2 linked regions of the Cricetulus griseus genome follow. The protein of the gene in region 2 interacts with the protein of the main gene of each other region in a pairwise test. Links are inferred from orthologs where the notes say so. Each region holds a gene or a part of one and is shown on either strand. Other genes may lie near its edges.

What was found.
Region 1: the proteins of Fate1 (region 2) and Sec22c interact in binary tests that used the Homo sapiens proteins (3 or more experiments, as listed by UniProt). The two-hybrid records come from large-scale screens. The link is inferred for Cricetulus griseus from reciprocal best matches to the Homo sapiens genes FATE1 and SEC22C.

Annotation. Positions count from the first base shown.
Region 1 is NC_048597.1:228,685,338-228,688,992, reverse strand, and holds part of Sec22c (vesicle-trafficking protein SEC22c), read left to right. Parts: intron 1-1,128; coding exon 1,129-1,247; intron 1,248-3,125; coding exon 3,126-3,191; intron 3,192-3,655. UniProt on the Homo sapiens protein: May be involved in vesicle transport between the ER and the Golgi complex.
Region 2 is NC_048604.1:3,691,296-3,695,050, forward strand, and holds the start of Fate1 (fetal and adult testis-expressed transcript protein), read right to left. Parts: upstream 2,394-3,755; coding exon 2,288-2,393; intron 1,793-2,287; coding exon 1,665-1,792; intron 742-1,664; coding exon 635-741; intron 338-634; coding exon 262-337; intron 1-261. UniProt on the Homo sapiens protein: Involved in the regulation of endoplasmic reticulum (ER)-mitochondria coupling. Negatively regulates the ER-mitochondria distance and Ca(2+) transfer from ER to mitochondria possibly implicating it in the regulation of apoptosis.

The DNA.
Region 1 (3,655 bases), on a different chromosome or scaffold from region 2:
AGCAAGCCGTTGTGATATACATTGGGAGGATTTGAAGAAGGAGGCTGGGTAATTGAGTCCAAGCTCCTCCCTTGCTGTGCGTGAACACAGGGACCCCTTTGTAATGTTTGTTTTGTTTTGTTGTTGTTTTTTAAACACTTAGAAAAGAGGAGCAAATCCCCAAAGCGCCAAGGTACCCCACATGCCTAGGGCGTTTCACTGCCTCACCTAATTGCCCCAAGGCTAGAGTCCTCACAGGTAGCATGTTCTTTTCTAACGGAAACTGGAATTGCTCTGTGGTAACTAACACACACTAACATTAGCGTTAGCTGGGCTGTGGCTCACACGGCATATGCGTGTGCATGCGTGTTACACGTGGGAAACGTCAGGACCAGAAAGGATACTCCAGGAAGGAGCATGACAGGAGAACGGGCTGGCCAGCATCTGTGAGCCAGAACCCGTTTTAATGGTGACCTGCTGGAGAGAGCAAGTCTGTGTTCCCGTTATCGTCCTGGCTACGATTGTAGCCTGACAGTCAGACTGTTGTAGACTGAGTACCTCCTCTTCCTGGGTATTTTAGAGTTTGAGAACTTATCTGCTGTGAATTTCTCTGGGTGCCCATGTGACATTGCACCTTGTCCTGACTGGAAAGAGTGGAACAGTTTACAAACTGAAGACTGAGGTGCTGGTGTCAATGCTCCTAGCGTCGGGACAGTCCCTGCTCATAGCCTCTCAGCCTGACCTGTTGGCATGCAGTGCCAGGTGACCCTGCATTGGAACATCCCATATCCTGCAGGTTGCTTAGCAGTGTCACTGGCTCTTGCCTCTCCTGGTGACAATTACAGGTGTCTCTGGACACCCCTCTGGGAGCAAGTCACCCCTGGGTAAAATAAAAAGGCAACTGAGCACCAACAGATTTGTGTTTGCCGTGAAAAGGGCCTTTTTCCTGGAAGTTCACCTCCGTTTCTGAGATCCATTCTGGCGTCCATTTCTGGCTGGCCCTGCTAACTCCTGTTGCTTTTTAGATGTGTGCTTGGGGTTCTGTGTTTATCGTCGTTCGTCTGTTAGCACAGGTCTAGTTGGTATTCTGGCCCCTTCCGTCACAGAGACACAATTCTCACAAGACACTCTTTTCTTTTCATCCTGAAGCTCCGAATCTCAGGATGGAGCCGGTGACAGCACTGGGTGTCCTCTCCCTTGTCCTCAACATCCTGTGCGCTGCCCTGAACCTTGTCCGTGGAGTCCACCTGGCAGAACACTCTTTACAGGTGACCCTCTGTACAGATTTTTTTTCTGGTGGTTGTGGGGATTGAACCCAGGACTTTATGAATGCCTCAGCATGCGCCTTTTACCCTGGAGCTGCGTCCCCAACCGGTCTTTACAGTCCAAAAGGAAAGACAAGTGACAGAAACTGATGATGGGACAGTTTTTATCAGGTCGATATGAGGTTAGGATTTTGTTGGTTAGTTTCTTGTTTTTTTTGTTTGTTTGTTTTGTTTTTTGTTTTGTTTTTGGCTTTTCAAGAGAGAGTTTCTTTGTGTAACAGCCCTGGCTGTTTTGGAACTCCATCTGTGGACCCCTCTGACCTTGAACTCACAGAGATCCGCCTGCCTCTGCATCACAAGTGCTGGGGTCAAAGGTGTGTACCACTACCACCACCTGGCACAGCTAGGTTTTATGAATGTTAAAAATTCAAATAGAACATTTTAGAAATTATAATCCATAAGCTGGATATGGTGATGCACCTCAGTAACCCCAGCCCTGGAGAGGTGGAGGCAGGGGGATCAGAGGTTCACACCCCAGATCAGCTGCATAAGAGCTCTGGGCCACCTTAGGGGAGAGTATAAAATGAAAGAATCTTCAAAACAAAAATCTGCTCTTTGTAGTAAGCTGAACACATCTGGAAAGATCCCTTTGTGACTGCCCTTGGGAGTTCTGGGATGTTGCTGGGAAGTAGGCAGCTTGCTGCAAGGACTTTGGGCTGCCGCTGTGCCCTTAGGAACCAAGGATCCATTGTCAACAGGACACAGGTTGGATTCTCACACTGTCAGGCTCTAAGAAAAGATGTTCCCACTGTGTGATGTGTGGCCCATAGGCACCTCTTCTCTTGCCAGAGACCCACATCCCCAGGGACAAAGCCAGCGTTCCGTTTCTTGGCCACCGATGGTGAAGCAACATTCTGTCTCTATGCTTTCTTCAAATATTCGATTCCAAGCAATAGAACTGTTATTAGCATAAGCAGGTAGTTGTTATTTTCAAGGATAGATCCATGAGTTTTTATAGATTTTTTTTTGTGTCACATTGCTTTGTTTGAACCCTTTTTGATCTTACTGGGCCTTTTGATTATATAGTATGGTTTCTGATTTTGTGTTTCTATGGATTTGGGGTTATTGTGTTTGCTGTACTTTTTCTTTTATTATTATTATTATTGCCTTTTTTAACAAGAGAAGAAAAGCGTGGAGTTGGTTCAGTGGGGAGTTCAGGGGGACCTGGGAGGGAGTGCAGGAGAGGAGGGGAAACCGTGACCATATGGATCACATGAACTGTCAATAACAAAGCAAAGCCGTCCTTCTCACTGCAGTGTTAGGTGTTGGCTAGAGACTAAATGGTGGTGGTTTGTGGGTGCTGAACCCAGGAGGGTGATGTGGACTGACCCCTTTGAGGAGTGGCCTCAGGCTCCTGTTAGAGCGGTACCTGTGAAAACCCTTAGGCCGGTGACCACATCTCATCTTCTAACAGTGTGTGGTGTGGATCAGGTACCTGCTGGCTATTTGTGGTAGAATCGGTGCCTGGCTGGCAAAGTGGCTAAGATAGGTCCTGCCGAGGGGTTCTGATGGCATTGTGCAGGGACAGCACTGAGGAGGTGATGGTTCCCGGGGCAGGAGTTTCTAGAAGAAGCTTAGCATTAACAGATGAGAAGGGTTCTTGGGGGTGAAGGAAAATTGCATGTTGAGGACGTAGCATGGAGGCCTGGGACAGAAGTACACACGGTCTATCTAACCATTGAAAATGGTCACATGCCAACCCTGGGTCTGGCTAGGCATCCTTGTACTGTCAGTCACACCGGTGACACAGGATAACAGACTCTGTGCCACCATGATTCCTTTCAGCCAAACCTTTCTTCTATGTACCCCTGTCTGTTTCAGGTTGCCCAGGAAGAAGTTGGGAACATCCTGGCCTTCTTTATTCCTTCTGTGGCCTGCATTGTCCAGGTGGGTGCAGCCCCTGACTGGCTGCTTGTGGGGACTGCAGGCAGGTGCCTGAGGGAATAGTGGCACCCAGCGTGGCTGTGACTCGGGAGAAATCACAGTAGGATTGGGAGGGCCTTTCTGCCTGATCTGCCCCTTATACTGCATCTCTCTCTTCTCTGCATCCCCAGTCTGGACGTCTGCTTGTGTGTCTCTAACACCCTTCCTCCGGTGACACCTGTTTCATTCTCTTAGAATCCGGTGATTACCAGCTGCTGGTCCCAGCTTTGCTGTAGCGAGTTCAGTTAGTAGGTGAATGCATACAGGTGTCAGTTAGTAAGTGAATGCATACAGGTGTCAGTTAACAGGTGAATGCATACAGGTGTCAGTTAGTAGGTAAATGCATACAGGTGTCAGTTAGTGGGTGAATGCATACAGGTGTTAGTTAGTAGGTGAATGCATACAGGTGTCAGTTAGTGGATGAATGC
Region 2 (3,755 bases):
CCTTCCACATCCTTTTCTCTTCCCCAATTCCTGTCCAGCATCTCCAGCATAAAGGAAAGTCAAGGGTGAACATCAACATGAGGTACTCAAGGCATGAGGCCTGAGAAGAACAGAAAGGAGAGCCCAACCTCACTTCATTTGCTACAGGATATGATTTGGACAAAGGCTATGAAAACTCGGGGGTGGCTTTGTTCACAACTGCCAAAATCACCCACTCCAAAGCACTATGATGCTTCCTCCAACTATACAACAGATGCTTACCTGCCTTCTCATGACTTCCATCTCCAGCCCATTGAGTTCTTCCAGGCCAATCTCTGCCACTAAATCTGCCTCCAGACTGTTGGAAGGAAAGGTTACATGGCTCAGAGGTGTTGGTGGCCATAGAAAAGACACAGAGCAATAAGGTATGCCTGAAGGCTTTTTGGATAAAGATCCCAGTCCTTCCCTTGTGTAGTAAAGAAGCCGGAGGCTTTGCCAAAGCATACGTAGATCCCAAATGGCCAGGAGGCAATAGTATCCCAATACTTCAAGTATATACATCTGCTTCTCGACTCGGATGCTCACTAGTCCCTATGGCCCTACCCTCTGCTTGTTCCTCCCCCAGTAGCTAGGAACAAGACAATTGAACTCTTACCGCTCATAAGGGACCCTCCCTGTTTGGAAGTTGCCAGGAAACTCCTGGAGATAGCCATCCACCTGACTGTGATCTCTTGGCATCCGGGGCATCTGCACCTGATGACCCTACAGAAAGAAAGGATACACCATTCCAAGTCACCCTTTTAGCACCGCATTGTGCATGAATCAACAGTACACCCCATAGGAGCCCCATGATGTCATTTCATCTTCCTGTGCCCCCCCCCACACACACACCATGCCTATTGGTAGCTTCTAGCCTTGTGTGCTGTGCCAAGGAAAATGCAGTGACAGGCTTCTCTGTCTTTTGGTAGAACTTTTACATGCAGGCATCCCTTGAAAACCCAAGCTACCTACTGAAGATGAATGTAAACCTTCAAGATGATTTTAAGTAATTTAAAAGAAAACATCATTTCACACCTTGGAAGTTTATAAAGAATTGTATAGTCATCCCTTGGTATCCATGGAGACTGTTTCTAGAATAAACGCCTCACTATGGTTATGCAGCTCTGCAGATTCCCAAGTTGCTTGTGTAAAAGGTCATAATATTAGAATATAGCATAATCATATCTTTTTATATAATTGAAATAATTACTATATTATTTATAATGTCTAATAAAATGTAAATGCCATCTAAGTAATTCTTATACTATATTGTGTAGATAATCATTGCAAGAAAAACATCTTGCATGTATTCTCTAGAGATGTAATCACTCCACCTCCACCCACAGACAGTGTCCATCTGTGATCGATTGAGCCAATGGATGCAAGACCTAGGAATGTAGAGGGTCAACTATAGATGCATTTTCCAGTCAACATGTTTGCTAGGCATGCAGACTTCTAGCATTGAAGTCCCAGCATTATACAGTACAACCCTAACCTTCCAATGATCTACCCTTCATTCATTTGCTTTATTGGTATATGGAAGCTTCCTCCTCCTAATGATCAACTTCTAGCTATATCTACCATGGGAATACAGGAGCCCCAAAGTAAGAACTTCCCACCCTAAACTAGCCACCATTTGTCAATACCCCTTTCTTGGGACGAGGTCCAGTCACATTCCAAAATGACTGGCCTGAACCAGATCCAGCAGGTTTTTGCTCTGCCCTTGGACGTCTTTGGATTCCTCCCAGTGACCGGGACCCACGTTCCATCATTTCTAGAAAGAAGAACAGAGACTGCTATGAATACTGCTTTAAAGGTTTTACCAGAACTTTCTGGGTACTGAAAACAGCAGAAATCACTCAATACCCATTCACTTCTGATGCTCAGCCTATTTGTCCATCTGTTCAACAGGTCAGTATGTATTTACTGAAAATCTGGCCCTGGGCCTAGGATTCTGTAGCATGAGCAATGATCAAGAGATGAAATCCCAAACACAAACCATCTCTATGTATGAGAGAATAGGAAATACCAATAATAAAATCTTCCATCCATGTAAATTCAGATATGTAAATGGTTCATGAATGATTAAAAACCAAAACAAGCTAATATGGCAAAAGAAAAGCATAAATCAACACTGAAATACCTAAAACAAACGAATAACCTTCCAGACTAAGTAAACAGCATGCACAATGACTGGGATGTTGTAGAAGCAGCACAAGTAAACGCACATGATTAACTATACCCAACAGGCTTTTTAGGGGATTCTCACCTGACATCACTGGTTGTTCTTGGCTTTGGTCAAAGTTTCCAGTCCCTAGATCTTCAGAAATGGACATTTTATACCCTTCTTTGACATTGGAAGGGCTTTCTGCCATCACCACCAGGTATTCATTTGTAAGGTTGTTCAGGGTGGATGGCACAGAGAAGACACTTGGAAGCTCGCCTCTTCCAGGGGTAGAAATGTGAGGGAGATATACTGGCACAAGAGGGTGGAGCCAGTTCTCCCTCTCTGTGCTCAGGCCTTGGATTGGCACCTTGAGTTCCCACTGTATCTTGTTGGTGGGTCTCGTGGCCGCCTTCTCTTCTGCTGTGTAAGCAACTTGGAGATGAGATAGTGCTCTAAGTGGTACTGTTTTTGTGAGCTGCCCTGATTCATCTCCCCTTGATTTTGCTACTCACGGGTAGGAGGATCCCATCCTCCATCATGGTCTAGAAAGAGACAAGGGCTGGCATACGGCCCAAGCATCCATAAGTGCCCAAAGCAGTGACAGGTCCCATGCTTATCATGGTTTCTACAAGCCCATGACTGGCCAGTAATCTAGGGTACAGCACTCTATCAGAGGAGCTTCTCTGTACAGAACATCCTGCCTCCTCCAATGCAGAGTCTTCAAGCAAAGTAGATGGCCTTGTCTGATATGAATCCTGGGAAGGAAGCAGGGAGGGGCAAGAGGGACATGCTGGGCTTGTGTACCCTGCTGTATGTTTCAGCTCTGCCTCAGTTTTTCTACAGATTAGACCAGATGTATGTGTCAATTTAGTCAGGTTCTGATCCCCAGTGAGTTTATCAGACACTCAACTCTCAGTATTTCTGCAAAGGTATACTGCAGCTGTGATTATTATCCCTAATGGACTTTAAATAAAATGGCTTCCTCCCAGTCAGGTGCTTGTACTCAACCAATGTGCTGAAAGAATCAAGTGCAAACCTTAAGGAATGGGTCAGTGAGTGGGATGACCCCATGCCCCAAGGTTCCCAGAGAATGAGGGAAACCTGCCACCACAGCCTGCCCTGTCAGGGTGCTGAGAGGCATTGGAACAGCTTCCATAGGCTCACGCCGTCCCGGCGCTCTTGGGCCTTGGACTCAGCACTCCCAAGATGATACAGACAGATCCAGATAAAGAAAAACCTCTAAAGGTTTACACTGCATTTAAAAATATATGTAGGCTTGTGAGAGAAAAAATAACAGGAGGAAATAGAGTAGCTGGGTGTGGTGGCTCACGCCGGTAGGATTTGCTGAAGGAAGCAGAGGCAGGCAGATTTCCACAGAGAAACCCTGTCTCAGAAAAAATAAACGAAAGATAGTAAAAATAAAGTAATAAAAAAGCCACATAAAGACGGAAAATACACAGAGAATCTGGATACTATATGCCATATTGTTCTCTTTAAATTGTTTGATTGCCAAGGAAAGACTTACTGCTGCTAAAATACATTTGATTATAAATGCTGCTAAATTAATCCA